Drosophila melanogaster: one gene and its partner. The protein of the gene in region 2 purifies or fractionates together with the protein of the main gene of each other region. This does not show direct contact. Each region holds a gene or a part of one and is shown on either strand. Other genes may lie near its edges.

Region 1 (8,309 bases), about 16 Mb from region 2:
CCCTTTACTTAATTCAATTAAATGTGCAAAAATATGCTGGGTATAAATTTGGAGCAGCTCGCCAGCGAAACGCTGTACGGATACACAAAACGAAGGAAGCACACACAGATACACACACGCACACGCAGGCACACACGGGGATACACTTGCTCACATTTACACAGGCATTGGGTCTCACTCACGAGCGAAACGAACCGCTGGCTTGGCCCAAAAAAAGCAACTGCCACTTGAACGAGCCTTTTGACTTGTTTTCCTTCGACTTAGGTGGAAACTGTGACAGCAGCGTTTCTGGCGCTAGCTGCCGCTGGCGTTTTTCCAACTCTCCTTTTCTAGAGCACACGACGCGGCCGTCCTGGAAAGCGTCGTTCTCCGTCGTTTCTGGCCAGCAATCTCAAAGTCGACTGAACCGATTACTGAACTGAGCTGCCTTGCAAGTGGCCAAGTCGAAAGCTTTTCCTGTCTCTCCCAGCCTCTCTCTCTGAGCTACGCTTTCCCTCGCTCTCTTCGGTTTGGCAAAGAAAAACACTTGTTAGGAATTTTCTTTGCTCTTTTCTTTTTGCTTTTTGTTTTCGTTTTGCTTTTGTCGTTGCATTTCGCGGCTTCAAAAGGACTCAATAAATTGCTTGCGATTTGGGCTGATAAGGATTTTCACATTTCGTGATTGCCGGAGCAAAAATAAGTTATATTAAGCCAATAATATCGCTTTGCTTCATAGAAAAAAACGACAAAGAGAAATTTATCATGGCCATTTTATATTACTTTTCCAGTTAAGCAACTTCTTGTGTGCATAGATTTTATTTTGTTCTATTTACGTAGTCTAAAGAATATTATATTATTATATTTAAATTAGTATTAGTAAATGTTGTTTGTTTTATGCAACCAATTCAGAATTGATTTAAGGGATTACTACTAAAAACTTTTTGTTTTGGTGTCTCTTGATTGAGCAATCTGTGCAAAAGGTAAAACTTTAATTTATTATTTTAAGGAGCTTAACACAATTTTTTATTTCAAGCAACATCTTTAGAAAGTGTGATATTTCTTTCACATGATTTCCCTTTGACGAAAACATATCATATCTCCATGCTCCAATTTCATCAGTAATAAAATTTGACAAATTTGTCAAATCTATCTAATGTGTCTATTTAGGGCTGCCACCACAATCAGCATAGTTATGCCATAAAAAATAGGAGCTGCCTAGACGGTGCATCCATTAATACACCCATATGTTTATATAGATCGTAAAATCTTGATAAGGAGAAGACCCCATAAGCATAAATTCGTCAGGAGAAAGCATTTCGCAAGCCGACGACTCATCCCAGACAGCTTAGCATAAAATTTCGAAATCAGAACCCGCCAGCAAACGAGTTTTTCAGTCGCAGCCAAGAACTGAATGGCGTATTAATTGTGTAATCTATAAAAATCCATTTACATATGCATGGGCGAGATTGGCAGCTGCCAACGAGCCCCGCGGGAGATATGAAGATGGTCTCCAAATTGGGTTAGTTGGCTTAGTGTCGGCATGAGTTAGGGCCACCAACATGGCCATAGCTTTGGAAATGATCTGGGGCTCGGGACAATGCCATTACAAATCAATTTGGCTAAGACTGTGGCTAACCGTTCTGTGAACCAATAAAAACTAATCCAACGAGCTGGTCAAAAAGACAAAGGCATCACCGTCGAGCTGTTGACCACTGATTTCGCGATTCGGATGAGTTTCAGTTTCCCTTCGACCGGGAACGGTAACGGACGCATTCGAAATACTATATAGTAAGCCCGACGAACATATTGTATACAGCAATGCAGTGGCAATTGTTTACTGCCCTAGTGCTTTTTGTAGCATGGAGTTGTCCTTCGCAAGGAGTAAGGATATCCGCAAACGAGATGGAGCGACGCTTGCCGCAAAAGCAGGCAAAGATTGGGTGAGCAAACGTTGACGACTAACAATGAAGTTTTGATTTTCGACAGATATGACATTTATATAACCACTTTTTGGTATTTTCTGAACCTTATTTAATCCAATAATTCATAGTAGATTATTATTGCATATTATAGATATCACATAAACAATTCAAACAACTATATGCTTATATAGGATACATTTTTTTATAAAACAATTATATTTGAGTTGAAAAAAGTATAACTATGACATTTTAAAGTTAAACTTTGAACGAAATTTTTATTCTAGCTCCAGAAACTATCCCATCGAGTATGTCCTGTTGCCGAGTGCTCGTGGTGGATACAGAAGGCGCTATATTCATAGTCTGGGAAAAGCAGCTCCTACAACAACTGAACGCCCGTTGGTTCGTGTTTGGAATAGCTTCGTCCGCAGTGTTCAGCCCGCTTTCAGTTTCCGTAACCTGACCAATCCGTTGGCCAACTTCTTTAACGATGGCAGTACGAACATCATCGAGACGTCGCCGGTTTATCTGCAGTCCTACGATGAAGATCAGGAGCTGCAGCTTGAGGAACCAGCTCAAGTGGCCTCACAGGCTACCAAAAAACGCAAGCGAAAGCGCCGCAAGCAACAAAAGCGCCGACCGAGCTACGACTCGGCGGAGAACGATGATGCCTACAGCCCTTACGATCCCTACTTTGTGCCACCTTCTCCGCCGCGGTCCGCCGAGCCGATGTTCTTCTACGACACCAATTCCGGTAGCTACTACGGAGTACAGCGCTTCAGTCCTCAGGATTTCCAATCTAATTTTTACGGCAGCTTTTTATTCCGCCGCCTAGGGAGGCAGAGGATGTGGAAGGCGAGCATGAGGAAGAGGCGCCCGTAATGAGAAGACTCGGAACCAGAAAGGTGACCCTACTTCGACCACTGCCCCTATTGTCGGCCAAGGGCCAATCATTGACGAAGCTATTAGAAGTCAGCAAACCGGAGCATCCCATTGAGAATGAAGATGCAGCAGAGGAAACAGACAGCAGCGCACCGAGCGATGCACCGACTAGCGATGACGACGATGGTGATGTCGAAGCCCATTCACCGCTCTCCGAGAGCATGCGCAATACTCTTGGCACGTATATGCGCGACGATAGCCACACCCGCCAGCGCCAGAGACTCGCTAGCGATGCAGCAGGGGCTAACGATTCCGCCGCCAAAGTTTCGCCACGCCATCATCAACGACACCTTGCCCGGCTGAGCTCCTGGTAATCCATGCTAAGCTATAAACTATAAACTCTTTACTTATGGATGATCGTGTATTTATCGTATGTTACGTGCGAGTTAGGATGGGGAATGCATGATAATGAGGTGGCAGCTGTAAAATAGATTAGATATTCAAATAATTTTACTAGTTTCGCCTTAAAGATAGTGAGATAGACATCGAACTTACTATACTAGAAAACACAAGTAATTTGCTAGATCTGGGGCTATTGGACACGATCAGACGAGCCGCGTTAGACGCGAAGCGCTGCCGGCATTGGGATCTACAGGCAGGGCTACATGGTCAACATGCTGCACATTGCGGAAGTAAGCGTGCTGCAGTGCGTCCTTGGCTGAGATGCGCAGGTTGGGATCATAGCACAGCATTGACTGTAAGGTACAGAGTAGTGGATTTCCATTGGGGATGTACATTTTCTGCACTCACCATTATGAGTTCGTGCGCCTCGTGTTCGGTTATGGGTTGTGGCATGTTAGTTCCCTCCCATCTAGGGAACTTGGTCTTAAAGTCTGGCAGCTGCGTCACACCAGGCCAATTTGTTTCATCAGGTGTGCTTAAGGTACGGAAAATCCTATAAAGTTGATCGATCTCGCTGTCTCCAGGAAACAAGGAGCGGCGCATAATCTGTAATTCTAGGTTTAGTAATCAGATCCGCTTGGAATGTACATTCCATATAACACTACCATTTCAGAGAAAATGCAGCCTAGACTCCAGATGTCCACGCCCGTGGAGTAGAATTTCGTGCCCAACAGAATCTCTGGAGCTCGGTACCAGAGGGTGACGACTTCGTGTGTGTACGCCCGCATAGGCACGTTGAAGGCCCTTGCTAGGCCAAAGTCAGCCAACTGGAGTTGGAATTCGTTATTATCACAGAACCAACAGCGGGTAAAACCTTTAGTCTCACCTTTATTTTGCCCGCCGTGTCTACGAGAAGGTTCTGGGGCTTGAGATCGCGATGCAGGATACGATTCGTGTGGCAAAAGCCGACGGCATCTAATATCTGATGCATATAGCTCTGCAAAGTGGCAATGTGAAAATATTTTAATGGGCTGCAAACTAGTGTACTTACCTTTATCAACTGAGGGGTGAACACGTCTTTTTTCTTATCCATCAGCTTCTTTAGATCCATGTTCAGGTACTCGAATATCATGTACAGATTGTTGCCGGAAATGACTACGTCAAATAGTTGGACCACATTTGGGTGCTTAAGGTTCTTCAGCAGGGAGATCTCTCGAATGGCCGTCGAAGGAACACCCTCCGTTTCGCTGTGAATCGGAATTATGCTATTAAATAAAGCTAAATACTGGCAATCGTGATTACCCGTTTGCTAGCAAAAACCGATGATATCCTGTACCACGAAGCCGAATCATGTGGTGCTACGGATTACGGAAACGGCGCAGCTCCCACATAATTCGGGCTGCGGGGTGCAGGTGGATGACATTCGTCAAGGATAATATGTCCATATGTCACATAATATTTCCTATGGTTGCCATGAACAGCATCACAGTCCTGCTCCACCTGGATTACGCACCCTTCTAGCCGAATCTTTTTGAGGGCCACATCCTGGCCGGTGGAGTTGCTACGCGCTTTGTAAACTATACCGTAGGTGCCCTCGCCAATCTTTTCGGCGCGTTGAAAGTTATCTAGAATGGTGGTCATAACCTCGTAAACAATCCTTGAGATCGATGTTGGCAAAATAAACTAATATTTTGGAGGGAAATTCTTCTTCTTTGGTGATGCTAGCCATTCTCATGCAACCGCCGATAAGTCGCACAGCAGCGCCACATATCGATAAGAATTCCTTAATCGATTGTTCTGCGATGTGACAGCTCTAAGGTTGACTACCCCTATTTTAAATGTATTGTTTTCTTCTTTGCACAAAACTTTTAAAATAAAAAATAAAATTAACCGTTGAGACCCGTTAATGCCTATCACAGTTGGATCAAGACATTTAAAATTGATAAATAAAGTTAAAGCAAAAATCGTATTTATGCAGTTTCTTAATGGTTTCTAAATTTACTCTTTTAACTAATTAAATATATGTTTTTAATGAAATGTGACGTTCGTTTAATACGTTGATTCTCGCCTCTATCCAATTAATGTAGGGTGCGATGTACATGAAAAGATCTGCTCCTGAAAAAACCGAATCAAATTTGGCCAAGAGCTGCCGGATAATATAGTACTGTCTCGGTTCCCCATTTACTAGGCGAACTCCTGCCAGGATAGCGTCTGGATGCAAAGGAGCTCCGCGGATGGTCCTTCCAAAGACACTAGAATAAGGGTCTTTGGTCCTTCCATCCACGCAGAGAGCTGGCGCTAGGCCACGACGCGGATTGAGCAGTACGACGGTGCAGCGATAGCAGGTGGTAAATTGATTTCCATCCCTGAAGAGTATACGTCCCAGCCAAGGATGCTCATCCTGTTCCGCGAATGTTTTGTCGTTGTAAAGCTGATTTTCCAACGGTCTTCCACAGCGCTGAACTTCAGTGATTATACCAGTGGCTTATAAGTATAAATAAAGAAAATTGGTAGATAAGCATAATAAAGTAATTGGGTTACATCACTTACGCATAACCAGTATAACCAGTAGAACCTCGCTTACTGTCATCTCGCTCACAACAAAGTATTTTCCGATCGAGGAAATCACAATGATTTTGCACACTGAGAACAATAACCTCTTGCAGATAAAGTGTGAAGGTGTTTCTTATTGTCGCAATGCAATCTACTTTTCCAACAGGTATTTAGTTAAGTATGTACATACAATATGTGTGAAGAGGACTCTTTAACTTTGAATGAAACTTTGTTCTGAATTTAATGATTAGTAAATGCCATTTATCTACTATTTTCAATCATTTTTACATTTCTTCCGGACACTTAGTTATAGACTAAGATGGTTCCCAATCCAATTATTGGTATCTTGTGGTTTCTTTCGTACTGGCCGTGCGTTGATATTCACAAAAGATGCCAAGCTTCAGATCCATCTACAATTTTCATCCCAAATAGAGCTGCACCAGTTAGGAAATCTTTATCCTGGTGTACGCACGCACTCGTGACTCTGGCCAGGGTATGAAGGCTTTTCGGATGCTTATCCACCAGCGTACTGACCACATTGAATAGTCGGGCGATCACGTCATGGGAATCTGTATCCTCCGATACAGACAAACAGGATCTCAGTTGGGAGTTCAGTTTAAGGACGGCAACATCGTAAGACGGAACGATACTCTGGGTGAATAAAAAAGGCGACTTCTGTTTCCAAACATAAAGCTGTAGGCATCGCCCTTATCCAGGAATATAACACAGTGAGCAGGCACAAGGACATGGTTACGGCCACTCCGGAGCAGGGATACCACACCCAACCAGCTGACCTGGTGTACCTAATCCTGCCCAGCCAGTTGAATTGCTCTCGACTATCTTCTCGGTTTACTGGTCTTGCACTCGATCATTTTCTTGAACTGCTGGCCAGAGGAGAAGGGTCTTTGAGAATAAAGGCGGGGATCAGCGAGATTTAAATGCAATGCCTACTTCCTAGAGTCATTAACGATAATGTGACCAAAATAGCAGCCAATTTGAATGAGAGCATATCGCCATGCATTCCGTTTAGCATTGTGGTATGTTAAAATGTTGGGCTACAACTGAGTTAATTCCGGAGTGCGAGATTTGCCATGTAATTGCGGACCCTTATCGTTTAAAAAGACATTCCGTGCATTTTATGTGCGTTGCATTTAAAATTGTAATTGTAATTGCTTGTGGCAGGCGCACGCAATTCGCTTACACTCCACTCCATCTTGTCTCAATTTGTGTTTTACGTGTTGCAATAAAAAAAGTGCCATAAAAATCCGTATTTTAATTTGCTTTCGCCTCTGCGTTTATTTTTCGCGTGCTTAGGCTCTAGCTGTGAATGTTTTTGGCGCGCACATTTATGGCACATTAATCATTCCGGGCCACGGGCCGTATGCTTGATGACGACCTCACCGAATCCTTCAGCCACTTCGATCGGTACTCATGTCGCTCCGATATCGAAAATTAGACATGATTCATTGGCACTGTAAACCTTGCAGCCGAGTGCTTCGATTACGAGTACTTCGCATTTCATTTCAATGAATTTATGACTGCAGCTTCTCCAGAATTACCATATTCCATGGCTGCCACTCGATAAGGTTGCTCTACTGCACCGGTTGAGATGAAAGCAAGTGGCTTGAGAACATAAATTATTTGCAGTTGATGTGTACTTAAGGCTTTTGGCGCCAGCCAAGTGTCGAAAAACTGCATTTCCCCAAAAAACAGAAGGAGTGCGCGCTTGCCTAATGGCAAAAGTTTGGGGCCAATGTGAATTGAATTCCGTGCGGAGGACAACCCAATAGCGAGGACTACCCACTGTGTTTTGGGGCTTCGCGTGATTTATGCATTTGGGTTTGGGTCAGGAGTCGGCAACTTTGCGCAAATAACCCGAAAGCGCTCTCAATTTTTAGCAACAGCAACTAAACGCGGCCAAATGGATAACCACGAATTTGGCAAAAGACTTTGCTTCCTTATTTATAAACCCACCTGTCAAAAGTCACAGCTTGGTTGCCAAAAATTAAAAATCTTTTTACTAATGAGAAAAGTTGGAAACTCTTCTTTACCTAGAGACTTTTTAATTAATTAATATCTAAACTTGAGTTGTAACTTGAGTCAATTTTAGATCCTCTAGCGGATGCACATTAAAAAACTTATTCTGTCTTTTTAGTTTTCAAATATTTAGAAAAATAGTAAAAGCTTTAGGTACAATATATTTAAAAAGCTTTAGGATTTTGATGTAAAACGATATGCTATTTTATCTTAACTTTGAGGAATTCTTCGAAATCCAATCTAGATGGGGTCGAATGTTTAAGTACCCTTGGTGATCTAGGTCAGACGAGAAGAATCCAGCAACCGCAATTCCCAACAGATGAAATTGGCGTGGAGTACCCGAAGCCTCGGTCAAAGCTGATCCTGAAAGAGGACTCCTCTCGGTGTGGCCACAGATCAGTTCCTCCGGAAAGCGGGCTTGCTTCTCATGGCACTCCTTGCTGTCAATTTTAGTGTATGTCATTTTAATGCGTTTGTCTAACCTTTGAGTTGCCGAATGCCTTCGGTCGAATGACGGTCCCTCCAGTCCGGCAACGA
Region 2 (8,497 bases):
GGTTCTGGAAATGCTATTCAGTTGCATAGAGGAGTCCTGCTCTATAAAAAAACTATAGTCCAATTCATGTAAACAAGCGGACCGAGAGAGTGTTGTCGCCTCCGTCCCCAGCAGTAGGCGGCATCAACGTGGGTGGTGACCGCTGTGGTATTTCTATTGATAAGTTCCTGCATTCGATTACCAAACTTTCCAGTTAATTATGTTTGCATAGGCTTCCTCTGGCATTTCGGAGTTGCTCAAGAATCCCAGTTTGACGATATTCCTGCGGCTTTAGCGGGTTGCGATCGTATTTTCCAGGGGTCTGCCCGCAGATCCTAGGCGGAAGATTGGGTATGTTCCGAAACCGCTAAACGACGGTTTATTTACATTAACACTCACAATAAGTTTATTGTCGGCTTCCTAATCTCGCCGAGCTCGAGCTCTTCATCTAATGAGCCCGTACTTGCACGGTGTCTGAGCATATACGCAATTTGCGGTCTAATCCTAACGCCGCGTCTTGCATAATACCTTTAATACGCAGATAGTGGAAACAGACTCGCCTGGTTTGCCCAAATACCCACACGTGGTCCTAAGCTGCTTACCTAGGTAAGTCGCGGGCCAGAAAGGTCAGAGAGAGTTTGCCTGTTCTTTATCGCCAGCAAAGGTGGCAGCGATTGAGAATCAATCAAAAACGCATCAATAAAACTTGCGCAATGTCACTGCATCACACCGAAAACCAACCAAAAACACCCGAGAGTTACCCAGCAGGACATCGGGCCCAAAGGCAAACAGTAGGTGGTGCCGGAAGTGCAGGGCCGTTTTCCCATCAACATGAGCCCTGAAAACTAATTAAACTAATGATGACATAATTGGCTCTATCTGCAGCAGTCGAAGGTGTCGCGTTCTTTGTGGGGTCGCACAAACCGTCAGAGGTCCCGGAAAAGAAACAGATATATTCATTTACTCTCACAGAAAAAAGATAATTGATTTCTTTGCGAAATTGAATGCAATGACACTTGGATTTTCCGCTCACTGTGAGGTCCGGGCTGTTTCCGACTCGAGAAATGTTTTGACATTTGGGAAAAGGCAAGATTCTTGGACAATTCATCAGCGATCAGAAACCCGGACCCTTTTTACTTTTTTTTACGTTCTTGGAGTTCCTGGATTTTACCATGCGGAAGTGTAGCGTGTGCTCTTCCAACGAGCTAATTCCCACTTCCCCTTGGAGCTGGCCCCGACATGATGGGCCAATTAGGAAACAAACGCTCGAGTTTTCTAATTTTTAACAATGACTGTTGTTGCTTTATTTGTAAATATGCACATAAAAATACTTGGCTGCCGATGGCAGTAAATACACGTTATAGAAAAATGACATTCGATTGTATTGTATGTATGTATATATGTAAAGGGTATATAAATATGGATAGGTGTGGGCAGTGCTGTGCGCTTTAGTTTGTCTTATTCCGATGAAAGATCGGCAGGCCAGTCAGGCGAAGTCATTGTACGCTTATTTAAACGAATATACCATAAACTGAAATGAGTATATAGACGGCCCTTGTTGTTGGCAAGGTAAAGGCATTAAGTAAGGCACAAGTACTTGAGCCACTGAGATTACTAGGTGTCGCTGCTCGTACGTTTGCCAAGCAACTTCGTAGAGGTTCATTTGGGAATCCTTCTCGCCTTCCTTAGTACAGCATTATGGCGGTCTTGTTTTTATCGTCACATGGCGCCTCCAGGCATTGGCGGTTGCGGAGGCCGAGTCGCTGGGCGTACAACAGGATGGCGATATTCAGCAGCACAACGACGGTGGATACCACGACCAGGTAAAAGCTGTAACCAAGATAAGCCAGTCCATTGCTGTACCAGTGCTGCTGCTGCTGCTCAGTTAAAAGAACGTTGTGTATGAAATATTGGTAGAACTGCACGAGCCAAGCTACAAACGCCACTATTTGCGCCCCCGCGGCGCATATGTTGGAAGTCAGGAGCAGCATCATTGTGCCTCCTTTTTTGGCCGCAGAGGCTGACTTTAGGACAGCGGCGATGGCAGCCACAGCGCAGGCCAGCAGTGCGAAACCGGTGCCCAAGGTAGTAAGTAGCCAGAGCCAGAAGCTAGTGTCGTCATTTTCTGTCCGAACAAAGGTATACACTGAAAATACGGTGTGAAATAACAAAAGTTAAACAGGATTGCTTTAAAAATTTTATATTTTATTTGCATCTCCAAAAGCTGTTAAGCTTCCACGACGTTTTTATTCTATGTTGCATATTTGTGGCTCGCAATATAATACCCTTGCAATTTTAAAAATTGTAAACCCCAAATTTCAACCATATTATATAAAAGCAAGTAAAATATGGTTCCCTATGTCCTCGCTTCTATTATATTTTTTGCGCCAAAAATTTCAATATTTTTCAATTTTGTTAAATAGAATGTAACTTCCCTTTAGCCCTAAAGTTTGTTGTGTCACTTGATTATTAATAAGAAAAACAAAAACAATTTTGGTTTTTACAATTTAATTTTTAAGCATATCCTTAGGATCTGCAAGATAAATAAATGTAATCGAAAAGTATACATAATGGTTAATTTTTGGATATGTCTGCACTGATCATGAGTATTATTCGGGTATTTAATTTTATCAACTCGCCCGATTATGTTTGTGATCTTCACAACTAAACAAATTTAAAAGTAAATCTATTTTTAACAACAGTCTTATCCAGGACAATATCGGTTTTCAACTAATACATGCCCCAATAATCAGCACATTTTCCTAATCGTATATTCATTCAGAAAGCGTCCCAAGAAGTTTAAAGAGGCTAATTCACGATGCAGGTAATGAGAAGATCACTCTCTATCTAGTTTTCCCTGCTATCTAGGCTACTTTGATTGCTCACCATCAACCGAATTTGTGCGGACTCCGAATCCGGGATTCAGGTGGTAGTTGCCGAAGAAGAGTCCGAAGTTGAATTCACCCTTGGCGTCCGACGAGTTCTTGCGGCGTGGAGTGGCCCGCACCCAGTGATTAGTGGTCATGCTGACGAGCAAGAGGCCAATAGCCAGGCAGCTGCCAAAGAAGGTGGAGAACACTAACGCCCGTGTGTGCAAGCTCATCTTGATAATGCTCATGGAAGACCGGTGGCATATGTAGAAGGCTATGCTGTTTTCACCATTAAGAAATGTCTAGGGCCCGACTCCAGCTGCAGCGAAGAAAGTTAGTAGGAAACGTTAGTAAGCGGAGGACGCAATGCCAGTGGCCTTGCAGCGTATTGCTTACCCTTTTATGACTATGTCGGCGGGATCAATTGCAAATATAGTCTTTGTTCGCGGAACAAAAGATTGTTGCACAGGTAAACAATTAATATAAACTGTCTTGCCCTTGTTTTTTTCTCAGAAGAGAAGACTGAGCGGATATTTTTTCTCAAAGAGTACGGTAGCATTAATTTGGGATTTGGTCTGGCAACCACGGCCCGTCTAGTATATTCGATAACGATACAATTCTCATACCAAAATGGCTCGACAACCCTGGTTCCATGCAAAAATAGCGCGAAGTTTTTGTGTTTACGGCGGTGAAAAAATAGATTTCGTGTAAATATGAGCAGTCGCAAGCACAGAGGCTCCGAAAACATGGAAAATTTGTGCCCGGTGACCAGGTGAGTTTTCCTTTGCTTGGGGTGTGGGTTCAAGCAGCAGACCACTGAACTGGTCGCGTGACGTCACACGCGCCACAAGTGTCCAAAAGAGGTCAAGAAAGTAACTTATTGAATTGCAGGGTTCTTGACCCTTTCTTTCATCAGCCATTCTGCTGATGAAGCACGATCGAACTGCACACTTTTAATAAATTTTCGACTATTGCAGAAAGCGCTCGACTAATAAGAACCACGTCTCTGTTGTGGGCGCTCTAGTTTCCACTACGAAGTCATCGCACTACGAGCACCCTTCCTCGCCCTCGGCACTAACTTTTGAGGCCCTAGAAGAGATGGGAATCGGAATGCTTGATTCCGAAGAAAGCAGCTCCTCAGCCCTCTCGGCCATCGCTTTGGCGGTTAGCGCCACCAGCGACGACAACTCAAATGAGACGACCCCGTGCGCCAGTGTGTCGCGCATGGCGCACCAGCTACAGCACACGCAACGGCTAAGTCTGGGCTCTACGGGGGACATCACACTGGATAGCCCAGCTGTGGAGGATTCACTGTCGATGTCCCGTCAATCGGCCGAGAAGCTGCAGATTCTGGCGCAGGCTAAGCGCTCGTCGTTGGGTTCTGAAGGTAGCGGCAATTCAAACTCGCCCAGCAAACGTTTGCGCAACCCCCTGGCTGCAGTCACCTGTAACAACCAGATTGATGGGACTGCTTCGCTCAATTTTCAGCCATCAACCAGCAGGTTGGCGCAAGTTCGCCAGGCAAAAAAGCCCTCGACAACAAATATTACAACCCGAATAGTGGCAGCGGACAGTTTCTTTGTGTTTCGCACCCCGGCCATGAGTGCCCACATCAACAGCGGCATAAACTACTTTGAAAGACTTTCAGACGAAATACTACTTGACATCTTTAAGTGGCTCCCGAAGAAGACGCTGCTGCGCATGGCTACCGTTTGTCGACGCTTTAACCGCTGCTCTCGCGATGAGACTTTGTGGACAAGGCTAGATTTGGGTTTGCGGACAATTAGACCAGGTGCCCTCGAGCAAATTGTACGGCGGGGAGTCCTTGTAATACGTCTGGCCCAGACTAGTGTAAGTTACATCTAACATTATGTTTTCGGGAAACAAGAGCATCTAATCTTTGAACTGTAGATCCAGGAGCCCGCATTTGCACCATATACAGAAGTGTTTAGGACCCGATTACAATATCTTGACCTGAGTATGGCTTCCATCACCCGAAGCTCACTGCTGACACTATTGTCCCACTGCCGCCAGCTAAAGAAAATAAGCTTAGAGAATATTGAGCTCGATGATGACATCTGTGCAGAGATCGCAAAGAATGAAGCTTTGGAGGCGGTCAATCTGACTATGGCTAGTGGCCTGACGTCCAACAGTGTTCGCCTGATGATGGAGTCACTTACCAGCCTAAGCAGCTTAAACATATCGTGGACTGACCTAAGTGCGGATGCTGTTACGGCGTTGGTTACCCACATTTCCCCCAACTTAATTCGGCTCAATATCGCTGGCTGCCGCCGCGTTTTGTTTGACTCGCGTAAGTAGTTCCCACCGTCTTCAATGATATATTTCCTTTTTGATTTGAATTTAATTTGTTTAGATGTTGCAACCCTGCAAAAACGGTGTCCTCAGTTGTTGGAGCTTGATCTATCTGATTGCAATAGTCTAACACCAACAGTCATTACTGCAATTATGAAGTTCAAGATGCTGGAATATTTGTCCGTCTCCCGATGCTATCTTATTCCAGCAACCAAATTTATGTAAGATTTTTCCAGCAAGCGTCTGATTAATCCCTACCCAGTCATTTTCCTTGCAGTGAACTTAAGAGTATGCCCTCGCTAACCTATTTAGACATATTTGGGATGCTGTCGGACACTGCAATGGAAGTCCTTGAGAAACAACTGCCAAAAATGGGTATAAACAAATTCATTCACAGTTCGGTATCCCGCCCGACTGTTGGCACGCGACGCACCTCCATTTGGGGTCTGCGCACGCGCGACTAAGTCTCGACTCTGCTGCTTCCGTTACCATTTGAATTTGTTTTGCTGCGTAAGCCACCCGTAACGCAGTTATTTTATTCTCAATTCAACAACATAAATAATCACATTTAGCTGTTCTTATTTTTGTGCGTTTGGTCACTGATCCGCTTCGCTAAGGGGCTCCACTGGTTTCTCCCATTCCCATTCCTCCCAGTTGACGCAGTTCTTGAGACTATCCATGAATCCTGTTTCGCTGGGGCACTTGATTTCAATGGCTGGTTTGTTAAGTGTCTCACACTTCCAATACGATGTGGCATCCCAATTGTTGCGGAAAACTACAATGTCTAGCTCGGCTTGGGTCTTGCAACCCGGCTGTCCGTCACCATCATAGGCGAGGGCAATGCCAAAAGAAATCACTAGTAGGGAGGTTAGAGCGAGCTGAACCTTCATCTTTCAAAAAATGTTCTATGGTCTACTGGAAGTACTCGAAGCCTTTTATAGTTACATAGTTGCAGCGGTATAGTATCCAAGTGCAGCTACTACCAGAAAATGCTTTTATAAATTGGCATTAATGTAAACACTCGAGAGAGGAAGGAAAAGATAACAGTACTTGCCCTTGACTCCAATCTGTTCAAACTAAAAAAGGTACAATGAGTCACCCAATTTTCCATTTAAAAATTCATTGTTTTTATACTATATTAAATATTTAAGAAAATAAACAAAAAATATGTCTTTTATCAAGGAAAGCATAATCAAGCCAATTCAAAACAAAATCATATAGGGAAACGACAAATATAAATATTTTCGATCTAGTTCGTAATCATAGGTTCAAGAACAAAGTTCGTATTGGACAGCCTGCCAAATTTAAAGATTCAGCAATATAAAAGTAACTAAAGCAAGAGAGAAGGCTATGGTCGAGTTCCTCGACTATCAGATACCCGTCACCCGTGGCAACATGGGTCAACTAACTTGCGCTGGGTATTTGTCTCTAGAATCTGTATGCTTAATCTCAACCTTCTAGCTTTTATAGTTCCTGAGATCTCGACTTTCATACGGACAGACGTACATGGCCAGATCGGCTATTGATCCTGGTCAAGAATATATGTACTTCATATGGTCGGGAACGCTTCCTTCTGCCTGTTTCAACGAATCTAGTATACTCTATTACTCTACGAGTAACGGGTAGAAATATAAAATTGAAACTATTTTGAGTCATCCCTCCAATTGGTAATTTTTTTATATATTAACGGAAATTTAAAGTGCGTTACAAAAGTAAAAATTCTTTTGGTGCTAGTATGCTTAACGGGGTGGACATTTCGGCGTTTTCCACACTTCTTGGGAAATCACTTTAGACAAATTTGTACCAATGTCGGTACTTAATAGTATTTAACTATAACTTACCTTTTGCCTTTGGTGTGAATAGGCTATTAAGCCAAAGAGTAAACATTCGTCGATTGTAACTCCCTTGTCATCGATGTTGGCCAATACGTGACAACATCGATAGTATCGATAACTATCAGGTTCAGGTTCGCCTGTATTGCACTATTTTGCTTCACACACGTAATTTCGGAATTTGCCAGAAAAACACCGATCTGCTATTGATCTTAGTCCAAAATTGCGTTTTTAAGTCGAAAAGACACTTTTCGGCTTTTAGATGGATGAAGACTCGGCTACGATACAGCTGGGGGATAGGCGTCTCGGTAACGCGGTCGATCATGATCTGCTTCCAGGGCCACCCGGCGTCGATGAGAAAAGCGGAAACGAGAACTGCGAGCCCAGGAGCAGTGGGTCGGGAAAGCGCGGCAAGTCGAATTCCAGGCGCCGTTCCACATCCCGTGGTCGGTCGGATTCCCGCAACACATCGCCGTCGAACACCCGGCGAAGGCATTCCCTGTCCCGCTCGCTGACTCCACCGCGTCGTCGTTACGATTCGCCCGATTATGGGCGGTACTCCCGACGGCGCTTTGATCGTGATCGGCGACGCTCCCCCGAACGCCGGCGCTCTCCGCCACGTCGCGGACGACGGTACGGACGATCCCGGTCCCGCAGCATGTCGCCCCGACGGGGAGGTCGATGGTCACCAAAAAAAAAACCGTCGTCGCCGCCAGTGCCCCCTCCGCATGGAGGACCACATCCTCAAATGACCCCTGGCTATGGAGCTATGGCCGCACATATCTACGGATCATACGTCGCTCCACCAGATGTTTACGGTCACCAATATGGAATTCCGCCTAACTCGTTTCCACCTCAGGGACCGGGGTACGGTATTCCAGGTGCCCCGCCGGACCAAAGCTCTTTTGGCTCTGGCTACGGTCCGCCTCCCACAAGCGCGTGGGACGTAAATGGTACGTTTCTAGACATTTAACGCCAAAAGCCCTTCATTTATTAAGCATATTATTTCCTGCAGTGTACGGTCAGCAGGTGTGGATTAACCAGCCTATTTCTGGGGTCCAGCCATCCGCTTCAGACTCCCTGATCCAGCCACAGAAGGCCCGCGAAACTCTCTCTGGCAAGACGATAGGCGAGGAGCAGTCGGTGCCAGCGCTCGAAGGCGCAGGTTTGACGCCTCAGGATGGTAAGTGTGGAAATGAATTACAATGTGATCACTACGAACATTCACATGCAAACCTCTCACATTGTTTTATTACTGTTGTCATGATTACTTGTACTTGTAACTTAATTGCGCGCAAATGAATCGCATACCAGAAATTACCAAAAGTCTAGGGTAAAGATCAGATTAATCAGAATCTAGAAGTACACGCGCTGCAAGAACTAACCAAGACCAACCCGAGCGATAGTCTCGAAATGTTAATTCGTTTCAAAAAGAAAATGCAGAGTTTCCGTTTTTGTGTGGCAGTCGAAACAAACAATTACGCCAACCTGGACGACCGCCGC

What was found.
Region 1: the proteins of Skp2 (region 2) and Cdk2 purify together in Drosophila melanogaster (affinity purification with western blotting, with the first as the bait; one study listed by BioGRID). This does not show direct contact.

What each region holds. Positions count from the first base shown.
Region 1 is NT_033777.3:20,732,211-20,740,519, reverse strand, and holds Cdk2 (Cyclin-dependent kinase 2), read right to left. Parts: upstream 4,898-8,309; 5' UTR 4,824-4,897; coding exon 4,696-4,823; intron 4,598-4,695; exon of another isoform or gene 4,508-4,597; intron 4,430-4,507; coding exon 4,234-4,429; intron 4,180-4,233; coding exon 4,069-4,179; intron 4,010-4,068; coding exon 3,848-4,009; intron 3,789-3,847; coding exon 3,591-3,788; intron 3,536-3,590; coding exon 3,386-3,535; 3' UTR 3,336-3,385; exon of another isoform or gene 3,261-3,335; 3' UTR 3,155-3,260; coding exon of another isoform or gene 2,186-3,154; 3' UTR 2,106-2,185; downstream 1-2,105. Other genes in the region: CG31205 (uncharacterized protein), read right to left, coding at 7,978-8,309. UniProt on the Drosophila melanogaster protein: Like Cdk1, could play a key role in the control of the eukaryotic cell cycle.
Region 2 is NT_033777.3:4,332,672-4,341,168, reverse strand, and holds Skp2 (S-phase kinase-associated protein 2), read left to right. Parts: upstream 1-3,494; 5' UTR 3,495-3,562; coding exon 3,563-3,621; intron 3,622-3,826; coding exon 3,827-4,700; intron 4,701-4,760; coding exon 4,761-5,160; intron 5,161-5,223; coding exon 5,224-5,383; intron 5,384-5,439; coding exon 5,440-5,626; 3' UTR 5,627-5,758; coding exon of another isoform or gene 5,759-6,052; 3' UTR 6,053-6,290; downstream 6,291-8,497. Other genes in the region: CG1103 (uncharacterized protein), read right to left, coding at 1,665-2,125, 2,866-3,097; CG14645 (uncharacterized protein), read right to left, coding at 5,759-6,052; CG9776 (uncharacterized protein), read left to right, coding at 7,257-7,947, 8,010-8,177.